Linked DNA regions of Saccharomyces cerevisiae S288C. The protein of the gene in region 1 interacts with the protein of each later gene in a biochemical or structural test. Each region holds a gene or a part of one and is shown in the gene's direction. Other genes may lie near its edges.

What was found.
Region 2: of the proteins of ASH1 (region 1) and CDC28, one has a biochemical effect on the other in vitro, tested with the Saccharomyces cerevisiae proteins (6 studies listed by BioGRID).
Region 3: the proteins of ASH1 (region 1) and CDC4 form a complex in vitro, tested with the Saccharomyces cerevisiae proteins (2 studies listed by BioGRID, with this or other methods).
Region 4: of the proteins of ASH1 (region 1) and PHO85, one has a biochemical effect on the other in vitro, tested with the Saccharomyces cerevisiae proteins (2 studies listed by BioGRID).

The regions. Positions count from the first base shown.
Region 1 is NC_001143.9:91,504-97,462, forward strand, and holds ASH1 (DNA-binding transcription repressor ASH1), read left to right. Parts: upstream 1-2,995; coding exon 2,996-4,762; downstream 4,763-5,959. Other genes in the region: FAT3 (Fat3p), read right to left, coding at 1-33; MTR2 (Mtr2p), read right to left, coding at 1,241-1,795; ornithine decarboxylase SPE1, read left to right, coding at 5,254-5,959. UniProt on the Saccharomyces cerevisiae protein: Component of the RPD3C(L) histone deacetylase complex (HDAC). Responsible for the deacetylation of lysine residues on the N-terminal part of the core histones (H2A, H2B, H3 and H4).
Region 2 is NC_001134.8:558,457-563,203, forward strand, and holds CDC28 (cyclin-dependent serine/threonine-protein kinase CDC28), read left to right. Parts: upstream 1-1,621; coding exon 1,622-2,518; downstream 2,519-4,747. Other genes in the region: IFA38 (ketoreductase), read left to right, coding at 229-1,272; mannosylinositol phosphorylceramide synthase catalytic subunit CSH1, read left to right, coding at 3,178-4,308; TOS1 (Tos1p), read right to left, coding at 4,747-4,747. UniProt on the Saccharomyces cerevisiae protein: Cyclin-dependent kinase that acts as a master regulator of the mitotic and meiotic cell cycles. Required to drive the G1-S transition. More than 200 substrates have been identified. Substrate specificity is in part regulated by the bound cyclin protein.
Region 3 is NC_001138.5:114,052-120,194, forward strand, and holds CDC4 (SCF ubiquitin ligase complex subunit CDC4), read left to right. Parts: upstream 1-2,093; coding exon 2,094-4,433; downstream 4,434-6,143. Other genes in the region: AUA1 (Aua1p), read left to right, coding at 939-1,223; WWM1 (Wwm1p), read right to left, coding at 1,057-1,692; cohesin subunit SMC1, read left to right, coding at 5,378-6,143. UniProt on the Saccharomyces cerevisiae protein: Substrate recognition component of a SCF (SKP1-CUL1-F-box protein) E3 ubiquitin-protein ligase complex which mediates the ubiquitination and subsequent proteasomal degradation of target proteins. Recognizes and binds to phosphorylated target proteins.
Region 4 is NC_001148.4:489,789-494,852, reverse strand, and holds PHO85 (cyclin-dependent serine/threonine-protein kinase PHO85), read left to right. Parts: upstream 1-1,815; coding exon 1,816-1,832; intron 1,833-1,934; coding exon 1,935-2,835; downstream 2,836-5,064. Other genes in the region: TRM44 (tRNA (uracil) methyltransferase), read right to left, coding at 1-1,310; SVL3 (Svl3p), read left to right, coding at 3,489-5,064.

The DNA.
Region 1 (5,959 bases):
CGACAGGGGGGTACGGTGCTTTTCGATCCTCATGTTTTTGTTGTTTTCTTTGCTTTCCTAACTCTTCGTATGAGGATTTTCGATGGAGCAGGATGAGGAGAAATAGTACCACATGTATATATCCATTACAAAAAGGTTTATATACAATTACAATAGACCCTTGTTGGGGTTTCTGAAAAAAGAAGTAGTCGATGCCATCGGCAATAATACGGAATTACGAGAAACACAATCCCGATCCTTTTTTGGGTAATTACTTCACCGATTCTACCGATTTATCATGCCAAAAAAAATTCACCGTGGGTTCTAGAAGTGCCCTTTGAGGATTGTAGCCACTCTAACCCACACGGCCTCCTTACTAGCTGACTAAGGTGACAAAACCGCAAGGACTGGAAAGTCGCCACTCATCTGAAAATTCTCAAGTTTTTCACTACTGAGTTTATGCTTTCGAATTTTTTTGTTCGGTAATAGCACGGCGGTTCGATTCAATTCCGCCGCTCCGAGCGATGCTCCGCAAAACTCAGTAATAAGCTTTCTGATGGTTCACCCCTTTTTTAGCACGCGGGGTGTAACTCAACAGAAAAATGTGCCATAGAACAAGACTAGGCAAAAGCCAAGGAGCGTTTGCCATGAACTTCCACAAGTAAAGCTCGTTGACCAGTTGATCAGTTGAGGGGGGTACACACGACTAGCGCTTTCAGATATTAAAAAGTTTAGATGTAGGTTTTAGCGGTAACAGTTATATAAATCGTGTTTCTTCTCTTGATGAAACAAAAAAATGCTAGAAAAACTTTGTCGTTTCTTACTTTTGGTGCGCTTTGCAGTTTTCGTGGCTAGACTTAGAATCATTTCTCCTCAGATTTCTTGATTAAAGTTTGGTGCGAAGCCCTACTCTAACATTGGTGTTCTTCTTTTCATTCACGCAAGTTAAGTCCAGGAAGGTGAGCAAATGCTCATCCTTCTGTTCATGCGTGACGGCTGAATTATCCTTATCTGGCGTACCCGTGCAGCCGTTTCCGTGCCTCGGTTCCTCCGAGATATCCTTAGGGACCGCCAGGGACCATGATTGCGTCAACTGTTGTCACCGCTCCAGAGGATCCTCTGTAACCTTTTCAACCATAAAAATAGAAAGGGCACAGGGTTGGGGTATTTGAATTTTTTTTTTGGGTTTTTTCGTATTACTTATTACTTACCTTCTTTTCTATATAATTTTGTTTTTCCCTGGTAGAGCGGAATCTTCCCACTAAATTTTTAGCAGAGAATCCTCGGGTTTGTAAACCATGTTATAGTTAAACCCCGATATTACACCATTAAAATCATTTCTAAATATGCGGTCGTCGATGATCAGCTGCAGGGAAATGCCAAAATATGGACCCCATAGAGGTCTTGGCTTGTTCATATCGTTGGGTCGATTTCTGTTCCCAGTGTTATTTGGTTGAATGGGAACAGTCGCGTCTTGCCCCATCTTGTCTCTGCCGCTTTCGTCGAATCTGACTTTGCAATTGACGTTGCATATCAACGTGCCGGATCCCGGAATAGCGTGATAGTCTACTCCTGTTAGGGCATGTTGTGTTTGTACGACCTGGTTTTGCCACATTTGCAGAAAAACTGTTGCTTGCGCGAAGGGGGTAGCATTAAATATTATTCTGCAGTTGTTTGGATTAAAAAGCTGTACGAATTGGGCCAATTTGTTGGAGTCCGGATCATCCAAATGCGCTAATATCTTCTTCGTAAATGTGGCCGTTATTTGTGCTTGATTTGCGTCATTCATTACCATAGTATTACTATTGGTGTTCATATTTCTGTTATTACTGTTATTAGTTTGGCGTTTTGCCTGACGATCAGCCTGGTGGGGCCAAGTATATACTATAAAAACAGGTTAGTTACTTGCTCTATGCGTTTGCGCATCCTCTTTTTACTTTTTTTTTTTCAGTAAAGCCTAAGCATAAATCGTTTTATACGTACGACACGTTCAACTTTTCTTGGTTAGTAGTGGCAATCTCTGCAATACATACAGGGAGTCATGGTCTATCATCTTGTCCAATCAAAGAAGCATCGGTTCAGATCGAGCAAACTGTAGGGAGAAAGGAAAGTAGAAATGCAGAGTGTGCTATATGTCCAATCTCGGTTTTGTAGTTTGGATGTCATTAGAGATCTACCACCCAACCGGCTGCTTTCATGTGGAACAGAAAAGAAATCGGGGCGCTTCCTCTTCTGTATTCCTTTAATTAACGTTTTTATTCAGCCATCTAACCATCATACCCCCATACGGTAACAAAACCTCTTCTAAGAAAAGAAGTCTCTGCTCCTCCGCCATCTTATTTTTATTCGCTGCGCGCGTTTATTGTCGCATCGCTAGCCAGCAAAAAGTTGGTTGCCTTTTTTTACCTAAAAAAGACACATCTAACTGATTAGTTTTCCGTTTTAGGATATTGACGCCAAGCGTGCGTCTGATTTCTACGATATGTCTCTAATTTTGGAAGGGCCATTTTATTTTTGAGGATTGGGCTGATCATTTTCCTTACGTGGATTGAGCCAGCAATACAGATCATTATTAAACTGTTTTGTACATGATGTTAGTATATAATCGTAAAGCTTTTCTAATATGTATACCTTATACATGGAACTCCACAGAACTTGCAAACATACCAAAAATCCTTTATTCTTGTTCACTCATTTTACATCAAAAAATAATATTTCAGTTATTAAGGAAAATAAAAAAATAGATTAGAGAAGCATTTTGAAGAAATAGTATATTCTTTTATTGAACCTAAGAGCGTGATATTTTTACTCGAAATAAAATACGAAAAATCTATACACTCATCTTTCCGACTACTATTGGCTCCTGCTCAAAAAAAGAGGGAAAAAAAGCTCCAAAATTCTATCTTTTCCTATCGCTCCTGTCCTATCCTTATTACGTTCATTACTATTTTAATACTATCCATTCTTTTATTTTCAGTCTAAAAAAAACATTTCTCATAACGGGAAAAGCAAAAAAATGTCAAGCTTATACATCAAAACACCACTGCATGCATTATCTGCTGGTCCGGATTCTCATGCAAATAGCTCCTATTATGACAATCTTTTATTGCCTTCATTTTCCAATTTATCCAGTAATATCAGCAGGAACAATATCACAACCGATAACAATATAAATTCAGCAAGTCCTAGGAAGTATTCGTTTCATTCGCTCAATGTGTCGCCAATTCTTTCCCCAATATCTTTGGCTAACGAAATACTTGGAAAAAAATCAAATACTGCACCAGCATCGCCACATCATATGGATTACAATCCAATTTCCTCATTAACACCAGGCAATTCACCAGAATTCAACAAGGCAAGCTTATCTCAGATTAGTTTTACAAATCCATTGAACTATGGGTCTGGCTTAGGTTTTTCCTCTAATTCACAACCTCGACTACCATTGTTAGACAGGCTATCGTCCGTCTCTTTATCTAAGAGACCGGAGCGCCCACAACAAAGCCTACCATCACTAAGGCATCTGCAATTATTACCCAGTCCTCTTTTACAAGAAAACGCAGCACGCTTCCCTGATACATCAAAACGTACATCTAATTGGAAAACTGATCTTACCCATTGGTGTAAGGATACAAACTATCAAGACTATGTTAAAATACGCGAAGAAGTGGCTCATTTCAAGCCATTAAGTATACCCAACTTAACTAATAATCAAAATAATGATAGTTTCAATTACGGCAAGGAATTGGAATCGACTAGGTCGTCCAAGTTCCATTCCCCGTCTAAGGAATCATTTGATCGTACCAAACTAATTCCTTCGATTCTAGAAGCTAAAGATCAATTTAAAGATCTTTCCAACAATGCATGGAGTATTACTCCTCCCGTCACACCGCCGATGAGTCCACCAACCAATAGAACCATGGAGCGCACGACGCTTAGAGGAGTAGAGGCCTCTTTTTTTGAGGGGAAATCCAGCAATAACGATTCAATATTCAATCCAATTATTAGTGAAAAATTGGTTCAAGAAGTTAAACATCAAAGACAATTACGTGGAAATTCATTTCCCATGCCAAATGCCAGTCACAAAAAGACGAACAGTTTCAAAGCTTTGCAAATAAAAAAATTGCTTGCGAATAGAGACATTCTATCGAACAATTCCAAATCTAATGTAAGGAAACCATCTAAGAACAAAATCTCAAAGCAAGCATCAAATGTTTTCGGTAACACTGCAAGACAATTGGTGATGAAACTCGACAACGCTAGTTACAGTTCTGTCTCTGCATCTTCATCTCCATCTCCCTCCACACCGACGAAAAGTGGCAAGATGAGATCAAGATCATCCTCACCTGTGCGTCCCAAGGCATACACTCCAAGCCCAAGGTCACCCAATTATCATAGATTTGCTCTCGACTCTCCCCCTCAAAGCCCTCGAAGATCATCAAATTCAAGCATAACGAAAAAGGGAAGTAGAAGGTCCAGTGGCTCATCACCCACTCGTCACACCACAAGAGTGTGCGTGTCGTGTCATTCGAGTGATTCGCCCTGTTGGAGGCCATCGTGGTCGCCAAGAAAGCAAGATCAGCTATGTAACTCTTGTGGTCTTCGATATAAAAAAACACATACAAGATGTTTGAACGATTTATGTCGTAAGATCCCCACAAAGGGTGAAATAAACATTATGAAATCCAATGGAATAGACAAAGAATTCGTCCCCGAACGCAACTGCGAAATTGAAGGGTACCGTTGCTTATTTTGTAATTACATAACTGAGACAGTAGAGAATTGATACATGGATAACTGAATCTCTTTCAACTAATAAGAGACATTATCACGAAACAATTGTACATTTCTCTCCTTGTCTGTGCTAAATAAACTACAAATAAAAATTCATTTTCTTTCATTTTCATTCGACACGCCGCGGCATCTTCGTTTTCTTCACCGATTAATTTTAATCTGCGCCGTGCAGATATTTTCGCCCATTTCGAAGTGAAATCATTCTAATAACTTCTCCTGCGCAATAGATTGGTCATCCTGATTTTTATTCTGAAATCGAAAATGAAAAGCATTTATTGCACTGAAATAGCGGAACCTGCTTCTAATAAGCTTAAAATTCAATCATAATAGTGTAGTTAATAGAAAGGACAGAAGAACTTTTCGTTCCTTGGTTTATCATCCAGGTTTCAGCACGGCTTTTGTTTCAAGTTTAAGTAGGTAAGATTTTTTGATTGTTCTACAACTTTTTCATAGTAATCAAAACCTTTGAATTTCAAACTTACTATGTCTAGTACTCAAGTAGGAAATGCTCTATCTAGTTCCACTACTACTTTAGTGGACTTGTCTAATTCTACGGTTACCCAAAAGAAGCAATATTATAAAGATGGCGAGACGCTGCACAATCTTTTGCTTGAACTAAAGAATAACCAAGATTTGGAACTTTTACCGCATGAACAAGCGCATCCTAAAATATTTCAAGCGCTCAAGGCTCGTATTGGTAGAATTAATAATGAAACGTGCGACCCCGGTGAGGAGAACTCGTTTTTCATATGCGATTTGGGAGAAGTCAAGAGATTATTCAACAACTGGGTGAAGGAGCTTCCTAGAATTAAGCCATTTTATGCCGTCAAATGTAATCCTGATACCAAGGTTTTGTCATTATTAGCAGAGTTGGGCGTTAATTTCGATTGCGCTTCCAAAGTGGAAATTGACAGAGTATTATCGATGAACATCTCGCCGGATAGAATTGTTTACGCTAATCCTTGTAAAGTAGCATCTTTCATTAGATATGCAGCTTCAAAAAATGTAATGAAGTCTACTTTTGACAATGTAGAAGAATTGCATAAAATCAAAAAGTTTCATCCTGAGTCTCAGTTGTTATTAAGAATCGCTACCGATGACTCTACCGCTCAATGTCGACTTTCCACCAAATATGGCTGTGAAATGGAAAACGTAGACGTTTTATTAAAGGCTATAAAGGAACTAGGTT
Region 2 (4,747 bases), on another chromosome or scaffold:
AATCAATGTCTCGGATTTGGAAGTCCTTTATAGAGATAATTGTAGGGGCCTTTTGTAATGTTTCGGATGTTCTGTTTTAAGTCCGCGGGAGGCCTTTTTATTTTTCGCTTTTTTAGAGATTTCACGAATAAAAGCGTTGCAGAAATGCAACTTCAAAAGAGACTGAAGGAAACACAGATAGAAGAACAGTCTTCAAAGCAATCAATTCGTGTCGGTGCAGCTTAAGAAATGACTTTTATGCAACAGCTTCAAGAGGCTGGGGAAAGATTTAGGTGTATCAATGGTCTTTTATGGGTTGTTTTTGGGCTTGGTGTCTTAAAATGTACAACGTTATCACTTAGATTTTTAGCTCTTATTTTTGATCTTTTTTTACTACCAGCAGTCAATTTCGACAAGTATGGTGCTAAAACTGGTAAATACTGTGCTATCACTGGTGCAAGTGACGGTATTGGTAAAGAATTTGCTAGACAAATGGCGAAACGTGGCTTCAACTTGGTATTGATCTCGAGAACGCAATCTAAATTGGAGGCTTTACAAAAAGAACTAGAAGATCAACATCATGTCGTTGTAAAGATTCTAGCCATTGACATTGCGGAGGATAAAGAATCCAACTATGAATCCATTAAGGAATTGTGTGCGCAGTTACCAATCACCGTTTTGGTCAATAATGTTGGTCAATCACACTCCATTCCTGTTCCATTTTTGGAAACAGAAGAGAAGGAGCTTAGAAATATTATCACTATCAATAACACTGCTACATTATTAATTACACAAATCATTGCACCAAAGATTGTGGAAACTGTGAAAGCTGAAAACAAGAAGTCGGGTACTCGTGGTTTGATCTTAACCATGGGCTCATTTGGTGGTCTGATTCCCACCCCACTTTTGGCTACATACAGTGGTTCGAAATCATTCTTACAAGGTTGGTCTAACTCTTTGGCTGGGGAATTATCTAAAGATGCTATCGATGTTGAATTAATCATTTCATATTTGGTCACTAGCTCGATGTCTAAAATCAGAAGATCATCTTTAATGATCCCAAATCCACAACAGTTTGTAAAATCCACTTTAAGAAGCGTTGGCAGACGCTGCGGCTCTCAAGAAAGATACGCTACTATGACCCCTTACTGGGCGCACGCAGTGTATCAATTTGTAATTACAGAGACCTTTGGCGTTTACTCTAAGATTGTTAACTCCATTAATTATTCCTTCCATAAATCTATCAGAATTAGAGCCTTAAAAAAAGCCGCAAGACAGGTTAAAAAGGAATAGAATTATCGTTCTCGAGATAGTTTTTATACAATACATATATATATATATATATATATATTTACAAGAAAAGCATGGCTTATGTATTATACTTGCTTATGTACCAATATATACATATATGGCCTTATTAGGGCAACAAACGCCAAAAATAAAAACGAACCTAAATGAGAAAAAAAGAGAAAAATTTGGAAAACAACAAGAACTCAAAAAAAAAAATTGGTGGAAGGACCAAGTCCTCTTGAAAGAAAATTTAATACTGCTTTTCCAGAATATCATATTGGAAAAAATATTCAAGCCAGCACATCAGCTACAGTGGAAAATAGCCCAGATCAAATAGAACTATCCTTCGAACATGAGCGGTGAATTAGCAAATTACAAAAGACTTGAGAAAGTCGGTGAAGGTACATACGGTGTTGTTTATAAAGCGTTAGACTTAAGACCTGGCCAAGGTCAAAGAGTAGTCGCATTGAAGAAAATAAGACTAGAGAGTGAAGACGAGGGTGTTCCCAGTACAGCCATCAGAGAAATCTCATTATTGAAGGAATTAAAAGACGATAATATTGTCAGATTATACGATATTGTTCACTCTGATGCACACAAGCTATATCTTGTTTTTGAGTTCCTCGATTTGGACCTGAAAAGATATATGGAGGGTATTCCAAAGGACCAACCGTTAGGAGCTGATATTGTTAAGAAGTTTATGATGCAACTTTGTAAGGGTATTGCATACTGCCACTCACACCGTATTCTGCATCGTGATTTAAAACCGCAGAACTTATTGATTAACAAAGATGGGAATCTAAAACTAGGTGATTTTGGCTTAGCGCGTGCTTTTGGTGTTCCGTTGAGAGCTTACACACATGAAATTGTTACTCTATGGTATAGAGCTCCGGAGGTATTACTGGGTGGAAAACAATATAGTACAGGTGTCGATACATGGTCCATCGGCTGTATATTTGCCGAAATGTGTAACAGGAAACCAATCTTCAGTGGCGATAGTGAGATCGATCAGATTTTCAAGATATTCAGAGTATTGGGAACGCCGAATGAAGCTATATGGCCAGATATTGTCTACTTGCCTGATTTCAAGCCAAGCTTTCCTCAATGGCGCAGAAAAGACCTATCACAAGTGGTACCAAGTCTAGATCCACGCGGTATTGATTTGTTGGACAAACTCCTCGCGTATGACCCTATTAACCGGATTAGCGCCAGAAGAGCAGCCATCCACCCCTACTTCCAAGAATCATAAGCATTATAATCTATTTCGCTATTATATTACAAATGCTACTGCACTGTCATTATAGCCTAGTAAAGTATATAGTGAATACAATATACTCAGTTTCAACATTATGATGGGTAACTCCATCAGAAAATATATTCATCGTCATATACGGAACATTCAGTTATACGCGAAAGTAAAAGTGAGAGCTTTTCAGGGGTTAAAAGCTGGGCGTGTTCCATGACGTATTTACCGAGGTCGTATTATCAAAGAAAATGAAAAAAAAAAAAAAAAAAAAAAAAGCGAAGAGGAAAAAGACAAACGAAAAACAAAACGAAATAACGCATTGTATGCTGGGGCCTCAATTGAACTTCTTTGACTATAAGGAGTTCGCTTGTTTAAAGCCGTTTCGCATCTGACTCGCCCTTGGTTTTTTTCTCTGTTCTTGTTTTTGACCTCCGCAAATTCATTGCTCTTTGAATTTTGAAGAGTTTCATTGTCACCGTTGAATAACCGAGACGGGTATTGTTTTTATTTCCTTCATTATTTACATCGCAACACGATTTTTATTAGCTTCCTCAAGGAGCGCTGACCGTATATAATATAATTTCAACAACCGAACAAGGCAGTGCGAAGCGGTGCACCTTACAACAGTGCTAAAGTAGTTACAGTAAACCAATTAATACGTGATGAAGAAGGAGTTGAAAATTCTTATAATAGCGAACATTGCATTACTTATCTCTATAATACATTACACATTTGATTTGTTGACGTTATGTATAGATGATACTTCCAAAGATGCGCTAACAGATGAACAGCTGAACCCCCCCAATGGCTTCAATTCAACATTCTATGAGTCTCCTCCTCAACTCATACCGAAAATCATTCATCAAACCTACAAAACAAACGATATCCCAGAACAGTGGGTAAAAGGGAGGCAGAAGTGCATTGATTTACATCCGGATTACACTTACATTTTATGGACGGATGAAATGTCTGATACTTTCATTAAACAGGAATACCCGTGGTTTCTTGACACCTTTAGGAGTTATGAATATCCAATTGAGAGGGCGGATGCAATACGGTATTTCATCCTTTCGCATTATGGTGGTATTTACATTGACTTGGATGATGGTTGTGAAAGAAGGCTAGACCCTTTGTTGAAAGTACCAGCATTTCTAAGGAAAACTTCGCCTACAGGAGTGTCAAATGATGTGATGGGCTCTGTTCCAAGGCACCCCTTCTTCTTGAAGGTCATCAAATCGTTGAAACACTATAAGAAAAACTGGTACATTCCATATATGACAATCATGGGCTCTACGGGCCCCTTATTCATTAGTGTGGTTTGGAAGCAATATAAGAGATGGTCTAATACGGCCGAAAATGGTGCGGTAAGAATTTTACAACCTGCAGATTATAAAATGCATAATAATTCTTTTTTCTCAATATCTAAAGGTTCCTCCTGGCATACGGGTGATGCCAATTTTATGAAAACTCTAGAGAATCACATCTTGTCTTGCGTGGTTACCGGATTCATTTTTGGCTTTTTCATATTATACGGTGAATTTACATTTTATACTTGGCTGTGCTCGGGACCATTTAACAACAAACGCTATTACATTCAGTGGTTGAGTGACAAGTTCAAGTTACACAAGTGGAAACTAACATCGTCTTACAAGAATAAGGAAAAGAGGCGGAATCCTACTCGTCACGAATATAATTCGAGGGGTAAGAGATTAAGAAAAGATTCTAATATCCCCTACGACAGCGTTTTCCTTGATATAGAAAAGAATCACGCAAAATTTACCGACTTAACCTGATTGAATTGCCACTGTTCTACCCCTATAATATTGTGAGCATGGATAAATCTCAAAAACAATGGCGTATAGATATATAACAGGTATTAAATCTTAGTATTTAAGAATTACAAGTAACATGCATTCCTATAAAAATTAAAGAGAAAAAAATTCGATTATAAAATAGTACAATGTCCAGAAGCTTGGTTTTTAATAGTATATAATAAAGATAAAGATAGATAGAGAACATAACTCTAAACTTTAAGAGTGAATTTTTTTTTTTTAGTTTAGTTTTTTTTTTTTTTTTTTTTTACAATAATGTATTGTTCTTGGAAAATAACACAATCTGTTCAAAGTGGACAGAAACCCTAAAACAAAAATAATAACGGGGAAGGAAAAAAATAGCAAGTGAAACATAAATGAAAAAAAGGAAAATTTTATTGGTTAATAAGAAACGATCGAC
Region 3 (6,143 bases), on another chromosome or scaffold:
TATTTCATGGAGATTGGTTTTATATAATAGCCTTTATTAATGGCGTCACAAATTGAAAAAAAAATTAAAAAAAATAAGACGGACACATTTGCGACGCCGGTGAATAAATGCATATAAGTAGTTTATAAGCTAGCTACTACTCAGAAATAATTTCAAAAAAAAAAAGAAGTGGGCACTTTAAAATGAAGATTAGCTATAGTAAATTACTGTAGTATAACAACTACCTGCTATCTTTCTGAAAAAATCAGGCAATGTAAGGTCAAACTTGTACCATCGACATATATAATGTTTTGAGATATAAGTAACTAGAGACCAGTTTATACAGGATCTTACCTCTTTTTACCGTTATGAAAGCTTTATTACTGCGTTGTTAGTAAACACACATATTATTTTCGGGTAGTCCTGTCGATGTTCCAAGGCTTTGCATTTATCATTGTTTCCGCTTCATCGGTGGTATTAGTTAGTGTATCTGTATGTGAAGTATGTGGATAGGTGCTTCTATTATTGGAACAAAACACCTTAAACGCGCACTAGGTTATAGGAAAGGGTCCATTATTCAAAGAACGGCTTATTGAAAAGTATGTTGTAAAGCTCGGTCATATCGCGCATAGCCACGATAAGGCGTGGTGCTGCTTCATAGATTGAGAGGCGCAGTCAATACACAACCATACCGGTAGTTTGATAAATGATACTATCATTCCGGAAGCTCTCTAGTAAGCTGTAGGTGGCATATACGGTATCTATCATCTAGTAATAGCTATTGATTTTTTTCTCGACTATGCTATATGTGTTGTGATGGTTCACTTAGAAGTGAAAAAGTAGCAATAAATTAGACAGACAGAAGTAATTGAAGCTACATTCAACAACATGGCTAAGTAAAAAAGCGTAGAATATCATGATGGGTTTTTTTATCTTTTAATTGCTTTCTATGTAGTATAATGGACCGATCTTTGCAAGTATATATCTGTATGTATCCATATTTAGATGGCAGCAAGCAATATAGATTTGATGAGCTTATATCATTTTATCGTCCTTGTCCAAAAAGTCTTGATAACATTAAAAGTCACTACCGTCAAATCCATCATCAAATCCGCCGTCGAACCCACCAGCATCATCAAATCCGCCGTCGGACCCACCAGCATCATCACCGTAGTAATTGTTCTCGACAACGACAGTGTCTGGTCCGTCATAGTTGTGGTCGTCAAATGCGTGTTCTAGCATAGCTCCACCTAACAAACCCGCACCAACACCAAGTAAACCACCCATCATGGCACCGCCGTGTCCACTACCTTTACTGGTGCTTGGCGCAGTTCCATAGTATGCTTGCTGTGGTGCTGCTGCTGGCATAGGGGCTTGTTGAGGATAGTAACGCTGCTGTTGAGGGTATTGAGGGTACTGAGGCTGTTGAGGCTGATAGTAACGAGGTTGCTGTGCTTGGGCCCCTGCTTGCACTTGCGGTGTTGATTGAGAAGAATAAGGTGGAGGAGCCTGGTCTGCCTGTTGACGAGAACTCTTCTCATTGTTAACACCTGGTGGAGGACCTTTGGGTCTTGGCCATGTTGTTCCCCTTGGTGGTTCCCACTGAGAGCTGTTCGTAGATAAATCTACATAATACCAAGTCTGGTATTCATCATCAAAAACAGCCTTCCAGCCAGAAGGCACTTGAGGAGGATTACTTTTACTTTGAGCCATTACTTTAAAATGTTTTGGGTTTTTTTATCGACTCTCTTGTAGTGAGTGATAAAAGCAATTCAGAAAGAGTCTTTTGATTATCATGACTAAAGTAAACTTTTTCTTCCAGCTGCCGGCTCGGTCAGGTGGACGAAACAAAAAAGCCTGTTGAAATAATACTGAATACGTTAAAACGTCACAGCGCTTGTATATCTTGTGAGAGAAAGGCTATTACCACTGTTATATGAATATAGATTGCTCAACAAAGCGTGTCTTTTTCTGTGTGCTTAAAATATAGTGTCTTTTTTGGGAAAAAAACGTTTATTTACAGTATTCTCTTCTTCTTCTCCTCATTCAACTTGTTGCGGTTCGAAGAAAATTACGCATAAAGAATCAAAGAAAGGCAAAAATTACGCTGTACGATGGGGTCGTTTCCCTTAGCTGAGTTTCCATTACGTGATATCCCTGTTCCTTATAGCTACCGTGTGTCTGGCGGTATAGCTTCCTCAGGTAGTGTTACTGCGCTTGTTACTGCCGCTGGCACTCATCGAAACTCGTCCACGGCTAAGACAGTTGAGACAGAAGACGGCGAAGAAGATATCGATGAGTATCAGAGGAAAAGAGCAGCTGGTTCTGGCGAATCCACTCCTGAACGCAGTGATTTCAAAAGGGTAAAACATGATAATCACAAAACCCTCCATCCAGTTAACTTACAGAACACCGGTGCAGCGTCTGTGGATAATGACGGTCTGCACAATTTAACAGATATATCCAACGATGCAGAAAAACTTTTGATGTCTGTGGATGATGGTTCTGCCGCACCTTCTACATTGAGTGTAAACATGGGAGTGGCATCTCATAATGTTGCTGCTCCCACTACCGTCAATGCGGCAACAATAACTGGCAGTGATGTTAGTAACAATGTTAATAGTGCTACTATTAACAATCCTATGGAGGAAGGAGCGCTGCCGTTATCACCCACTGCTTCCTCTCCAGGTACCACAACTCCTTTAGCTAAAACTACGAAAACTATCAACAACAATAATAATATCGCCGATTTGATAGAATCCAAAGATTCTATAATCTCCCCTGAATACCTTTCTGATGAGATTTTCAGCGCAATAAACAATAATCTCCCTCACGCATACTTCAAAAATTTATTATTTAGATTAGTTGCCAACATGGATAGGAGTGAACTATCCGACTTGGGGACTTTAATCAAGGATAATTTAAAGAGGGACCTAATAACGTCTTTGCCTTTTGAAATAAGTTTGAAAATTTTCAATTATTTGCAATTCGAGGATATTATAAATTCCCTTGGGGTCTCCCAAAATTGGAACAAAATAATTAGAAAATCTACATCGTTGTGGAAAAAACTTCTGATATCGGAAAATTTTGTGAGCCCAAAGGGTTTTAATTCTCTCAATCTCAAACTCTCCCAAAAATACCCAAAACTCTCACAACAAGATCGCCTTAGATTATCTTTTCTGGAGAATATATTCATTTTAAAAAATTGGTACAATCCCAAGTTTGTACCACAAAGGACCACGTTAAGAGGCCATATGACGAGTGTTATTACGTGCTTGCAATTTGAAGATAATTATGTCATTACGGGGGCTGATGACAAAATGATCAGAGTTTATGATTCGATAAACAAGAAATTTCTTCTACAACTATCAGGTCATGATGGTGGGGTTTGGGCATTGAAGTATGCCCATGGCGGTATTTTAGTCAGCGGTTCTACAGACAGAACGGTGCGAGTTTGGGATATTAAGAAAGGTTGTTGTACCCATGTGTTTAAAGGTCATAACTCTACGGTGAGGTGCCTAGATATAGTAGAATATAAAAATATCAAGTACATTGTTACTGGTTCGAGAGATAACACTTTGCACGTTTGGAAATTGCCCAAGGAGTCCTCCGTTCCTGATCATGGGGAAGAACATGATTATCCATTAGTCTTTCATACCCCTGAGGAGAACCCATATTTTGTTGGTGTTTTAAGAGGACATATGGCATCTGTAAGAACTGTCTCAGGCCACGGTAATATTGTCGTTAGTGGCTCCTATGATAATACACTGATTGTGTGGGATGTTGCGCAAATGAAATGTTTGTATATTTTAAGTGGACATACGGATCGTATTTATTCGACAATCTACGATCATGAAAGAAAAAGGTGCATCTCTGCCAGTATGGATACCACTATTAGAATTTGGGATTTGGAAAATATATGGAATAATGGAGAATGTTCCTACGCAACAAATTCAGCATCGCCATGCGCCAAAATACTTGGTGCTATGTACACTTTGCAGGGTCATACAGCTTTGGTCGGTTTATTAAGATTATCCGACAAATTTTTGGTCAGTGCCGCTGCAGACGGTTCAATAAGGGGTTGGGACGCAAACGACTACTCTAGAAAATTTTCCTACCATCATACCAATTTGAGTGCAATTACCACATTTTATGTATCGGATAATATTTTGGTGAGTGGATCGGAAAATCAGTTCAACATCTATAATCTACGGAGTGGGAAATTGGTCCACGCAAATATTCTAAAAGATGCTGATCAGATTTGGTCGGTTAATTTTAAGGGCAAAACACTTGTTGCAGCAGTTGAAAAAGATGGACAGAGCTTTTTAGAAATTCTGGATTTCAGCAAAGCTTCAAAAATTAACTACGTTAGCAATCCCGTAAACTCCTCGTCGTCGTCTTTGGAATCCATTTCTACTTCTTTGGGTCTAACGAGGACAACTATAATACCATGACCTTTCCCAGAGAATAAGCATTGACTCATACTTAGATAATATAGCTTAATAAGTAGTTATATAATCAGTAAAAAAGTACAATAACAACTTCGTACATTTTATTGAATATAAACTGCAGCTAAACTGCTTGTATGTTCAATTTTAATTGTGTTTACAAAAAGGGTGCCGTTTATTAATTAATGTTTCTTCCCTGAAAATATGGAAAGTACAAGTTTTTAGTTGAGAAGGGTTTAAGAAAGTTTTGAAAATGATCTAAAAAAATATAAAAGCAATCAAAGAAATAAAAGCTGGAAAAATGCGTAATAACCGAAGTGACTAAAATTTCTTTACGCGCCAAATAAGAAATCGATGCTCTTGAAAGTAGCAACCATTTTTTAAATAATATATTCCTGATGGTTCTTGGCCCAAGAGTTTTCTTGAACTTTTAACGTTAAGAAGTTGATTCTGCTGATTTTTTTCAAGTTATCAAGCGTTATGTTTTGAAACATCTGTTCCGTTTTCAGTTTTTCAAAAAGATCGATATTCTCTTGAGAATTAGGAAGTTCTACGCTCAACCTCCCGTGGGCAGAAGAAATACAAAAGCTAATACAATTGTGTTAGAATAAAGTTCTAATATTATCTAATTAGTAGTATTCATGTTACTAGTATATTATCACATGATATTTCTCAAATTGGACAATGTAAATAATGAGTGTTTTTATGACACAATCTTTATCGTTAGATGTTTCAACGTTCCAAGGCTTGGTTCTATCGCTCTTCTCTTCAAATTGTAATCGTTTGTCATGATAAACACGTACGGGAAAAAAAAAAAAAGTATCAATAACGCGTAAAGTGAATAGAGTATTGGATTCTATAAGACCGAAGACGCTCATATCACATCTCATAAAATCACTTAAAGCAAGCATCCAGAGGCTATTGATAAAAAGCAGGCACAAGGAGACGCAATGGGACGTTTAGTTGGCTTAGAACTAAGTAATTTCAAGTCCTATAGAGGCGTTACCAAGGTAGGATTCGGCGAGTCGAATTTCACAAGTATTATCGGTCCTAACGGATCTGGTAAATCGAATATGATGGATGCTATCTCATTCGTACTCGGTGTGCGGAGTAATCATTTGAGGTCAAACATCTTGAAAGATTTAATCTATAGAGGTGTTCTAAACGATGAGAATAGTGACGATTATGATAACGAGGGCGCTGCCTCTTCGAACCCACAATCCGCATACGTGAAGGCATTTTATCAAAAAGGTAACAAACTGGTGGAGCTGATGAGGATAATTTCCAGAAACGGTGACACTAGTTATAAAATTGATGGAAAAACTGTCTCCTATAAGGACTATTCTATATTTCTTGAGAACGAAAATATTCTTATCAAAGCCAAAAATTTTCTAGTGTTCCAGGGTGATGTTGAGCAAATTGCAGCACAATCTCCCGTAGAATTATCAAGAATGTTTGAAGAAGTATCAGGTTCTATCCAATACAAAAAGGAGTATGAAGAGTTGAAGGAAAAGATTGAGAAATTAAGCAAATCTGCAACCGAATCTATAAAAAATAGGAGAAGGATCCATGGAGAATTGAAGACATATAAAGAAGGTATCAATAAGAACGAGGAGTATAGGAAACAATTGGACAAAAAAAATGAATTACAGAAGTTCCAGGCTCTATGGCAGTTATATCATTTAGAGCAACAAAAAGAGGAGCTAACGGACAAGC
Region 4 (5,064 bases), on another chromosome or scaffold:
GAGTGGTTACCTATAATAAAAGTATCTGGTGGGAACTCTGCTGTATTGACCTGCGGAGATTTTAGTAAGTCCTCACTTGAATACACGACGGTTGCGGGGGCAATCACTTCGTGCGTCACCTTGACTGGGAAAAATCTCCCATTGTGTTCCAAATGAGGTACTTGTCTTTTCAAAGCAGGATGGGGTCTTAAAAGGATAGAAGGTATTATAACTTGCTCCTTTAACGATGATTGCACTTCAGGCGGGTAGATAGACCACGATTTGCGCTTCCTTGCATCTATGCCGAGACCTTTAATACTTTCACTCAGTAAAATATAACAAAGAGCACCATTGCCGCATCCCAAATCTCTAAATTGCATTTTTGAACGGAAGTCTGGACCGTACACTTTAATCCATAATTCAATCAGGAAAGCGGCAATGGCTATGTCTTCAAAAACATGTTTTTTTGGGTCTGTAGACTCTGCCCAATTCTCCACCAGGAACTTGGAGTATTTTTTCTTCAAAACAATGTATGTGTTCTGAAAATTGACTTTATTTACCACTTGATCGTGATTGACCCTCTTTTCATAACCCTGCATCACACCCTTTGAGTGTTTGTTAGCAGTTTGTAATAACCTATAAGCGGTTCTTACAACACGCTCAGATTCATCTGTAAAGGCAGTTTTATCCTCGGGGAAGGGAATGTAGTGTACAGAAAGAACTGACTGGTGTAACAAAATGCCTACACTTTGCGTTCTTGGAATATAAAACGGACAGTCTTTCTCAGAGTTAATGTGCGGCGTATATACAATCAATGAGGTCTCCTGAAAATTAGGGTCTTTGCTATTTAGGATTAAACATGTTTGGTTTATGATAGCATCTTTGTAAAAATTCCTAGGAATGATCCTTCTTACAAATTCATGAACGGGTGACAATTTTAAACTCTCAGATGTTTCACACGACCTTATGTTTAAATCTTCAATATTTATCTTCTTGACATCTTCTTCACCGCTTTCATTACCATTATCGATCTCAAACTTTTTTAATACGGACTCGTCAAATTTTGGCTCAGACCCAGCTTCTGCAGCATGATTGATCTCTTTCAAAATATCCGCTCTTAATATGACAGTAGAGTTAATATTTGGTTCTCTAATAACGTTCATCATTGCTTGCTCGAAGTGGGACTTTGCGAATGTTACTTTCCCATCCGTTTGGTAAAGGCTTAACCATTGAGGTCCTAGAATACTTTTATCATTCACAATAAACTTGAAGCGATCTTTGTGTTGATTTTGATTGTTTTTAGAAATATGTGCACTACCGTCGCCAGTCATTGTTGAGAGAAAGGAGAAGTATCACAAGATAGCAATATAATCGGACCAAATGCGTTGTCTATCTTGCGTAATGGAAATCGCATTTTCTAAATGATATGGTTTATTTCAAAGAATAATGTCATCGGGTTTTCCAAAATGCAAAAAATGAAATTTTTAACAATGCAGAGCAAAAAAGTGAAGAATAAGTGCACTACTAAAACCAAAAAAACAGGAAGAAGGTGCAAAAACGCAAAAAGTAGTTACCATAGTCCGTCCAGACACGTTAAATGAATTGATAGACACGGAGGGATAGACAGGCCGGATGCGCTACTTCTATCTATCCTAGACCCTTTGCTTGTCCTCTGTGTGCAGTTCATTTTCCGTACAAATCACCATACACGTAGACTCGTAAGCCCGTAGCTTTCTAATTGAAAGATAACAAAGGGAATCCAGTTTTACCATATAGCGTATAATTGCAGATAAGGGATATATAGCGCGGCAAACTGGGCAAACTTGAGCAATACCAATGTCTTCTTCTTCACAGTATGTAGTTTTCTAGTCAAGTATCATTGGAAAGTAAAGAACTAGAAATGATGAATACTAACATATATACGAGAAAAAATCAACCTCGAGCTCTATGAACAGATTTAAGCAGTTAGAAAAGCTTGGCAATGGTACGTATGCCACAGTGTACAAGGGACTGAACAAAACCACAGGGGTATATGTTGCCCTGAAAGAGGTAAAACTGGATTCAGAGGAAGGTACACCCTCTACGGCCATCCGTGAGATCTCCCTAATGAAAGAATTGAAACATGAGAACATTGTTAGACTTTATGACGTTATTCACACAGAGAACAAGTTGACTTTGGTTTTTGAATTCATGGACAACGATTTAAAGAAATACATGGATTCCCGCACCGTGGGCAACACACCAAGAGGGCTAGAACTAAACTTGGTTAAATACTTCCAGTGGCAACTACTGCAAGGGCTGGCCTTTTGCCATGAAAACAAGATTCTCCACCGTGATTTAAAACCTCAAAACCTATTAATCAACAAGAGAGGCCAGTTGAAATTGGGTGATTTCGGTCTGGCCCGTGCTTTCGGTATTCCGGTCAACACATTTTCAAGCGAAGTCGTAACGTTGTGGTACCGTGCTCCTGATGTGCTAATGGGTTCTAGGACGTACTCCACATCCATTGATATATGGTCGTGTGGGTGCATTCTTGCGGAAATGATAACGGGTAAGCCTTTGTTTCCTGGCACCAACGACGAAGAACAACTGAAATTGATCTTCGACATCATGGGCACTCCTAATGAGTCCCTATGGCCCAGTGTAACAAAGTTACCCAAATACAACCCAAATATCCAGCAACGACCACCAAGAGACCTACGTCAAGTATTGCAACCACACACCAAAGAACCGCTAGACGGGAATCTCATGGATTTCTTACACGGACTCTTGCAACTTAATCCGGATATGAGGCTGAGCGCCAAGCAGGCTCTGCATCACCCTTGGTTTGCAGAGTACTACCACCACGCTTCATAACGCAGCCCGTCAGCGAAAAACCGTAGCCATGTATATATAATGATAATAATCATCTATAATACACTACTATTACTTTAGTCTCATCTTACGACAGCCTTTACGACGGCTTTTACCGCCTTAAAGGCGGACAGGCTTTGTCTTCCGGAACGGAAAAACATGAAAATTTTTTATTTTTTTTCATTCGTTTATACCGCGAGTGAAAAAAAAAAAAAAGGAAACTGGAAACCTCTCGAATAACGATCGGTGAATGCTTCCCAAGCTGTTTTCGGTCTTCGTGTTGTGTCAAGTGAGAGAGCAGAACGTAAACGCAAACACAACGTCGGTTCTTTCCGTTGGCGTTCGTTGTTTGTTTATTCTCGTTTCTTTGAACCTGTTTGTTTATTTATTTTTAAACAGTCAATTAGTGAGAGTAACACACTTCTAATCTTGGCCTTCTTATTCGTAGCCACCCAGCTATTTTTGGTCTTGATCAGAACAAAGCAAGCAAAACCAAGAACAAACAGAAAGGGGAGAAATAGTTATCGGTTCGTTCCCTGGTTTTACTTCCTTTTTTTTTTCTTTCATTTTATAACACACAACTCCAGCAGTCTGACGCTCACCAATAAGATCAATTTCGTTTAATTGCTTTGCTCGCCCTCACACACGTTATAGTTATGTCGTCTTCCTCACTTCGAGTTTTAGCTATTGGGAACAACCCGAATATCTTGTTCTACACCTCAAGGTTTCAACTGGCCAAGAATATAGACCTCTACCACGTCAACGATTCAAAATCATGTCAATTTGAAATTGAAACTGAATACTACGGCAAAGACCGGTTCGAATTGGAAAATCATTTCACCTCTATCGAGCACTTGACTGAAGCTTTGAGCTCCAAATCAAGTGAAGCCGTCTTCGACATAATCATCATGAGTGCTCCATCTTTACAGGAATTATCCTCGTTAGCGTCCAAGTTAACGTCCATAATCGATTCGAACACCAAAATTTTCTTAGAAAGCAGTGGTTTCATCCAATTGGAACCGTTTGTCAAATTATCGATGGAATCTCCGCATGTAAACGTTTTCAGTATTTTGACTGATTTGGATATTCGTCAAATCGGTCCAAACCATTTCAAACACTTTCCTAGTACTGCAAAGGAGAACACGATTTACCTCGGCGAAAGTAAGTCCAGCACTGAGAAATATTCATCAGGCGTTATAACATTATTAACCACTTTTGAAAAACTGTTTGCTAAATTGTTTTCCAACATAAAAATCAATTTGTGCAATTTCTCATCAATTGAGTTTCTATCACAACAATGGAAGCTGGCGATTTCCAGAATTTGTTTTGATCCGTTGTTAATCATGTTTGAACAAGAAAACCCAAGTGATCTAGACCAGCAGATCATTGCCAAACCTTTAATATCAGGTCTGGTAACTGAAATCATCACTGTAGCAAAAACAATGGGAGCCAGACTAAACAGTAGTCATGATAATGAAAACTCTCTTTTATCTCTATGGAAGAATTCTTATCATTCAACCAATAAGCCACCTGCATTGGTTTATCATTTCATTCATCAAACAACGCCTTTGAACATCGATATCCTGTTGTTACAAACTATTTTATTAGCCGATGACTTTGGTATCAAAACTCCGTACTTAGAATTTTTATACTCTGTTTTGTCCCAATTTGAAAGATTGAATAGTGGCAAATCTAAATGGTTTATTAGGTCAGATGAAAAAACTCAAATCTTACAAAGCTTGCAAAAATCACAAAAAAATGAATCTGCTTTACAGACTCAAATTACCTCCTTACAAGGTCAAATTAGTAAACTAAGACAAGAGTTGCTTATGCAGGCCAAGCAACATGAAATGGAAACTAATGAGTTAAAGGAGAAACATCAAGTCGCTCTAAAAGCCCAGGCCCAAGCCCAAGCTCAAGCCCAATCTCAAGCTCAAACATCAATTGAAGCACTAACGCCAACTGAAGCAACAAACCAATCCGATACAAATGAATATAAAGCAACAGGAACTCCGAATTTGAGGGACATCGAAGATATGGCACTATATAGTGTAAACTACGGAGACTCTCCAGTGAGATCTCCACCACCTGTTGTAAGCTCTCAGCCACAAATGAACTCACCATTATCCTCACATTCACAAACTTTCGGAGAGAATAATGGCACGAATGACAAATTACTACAAGAACGCGAATTGCAACTCCGTAAAAAGGAATTAGAGCTACAAGAACGTG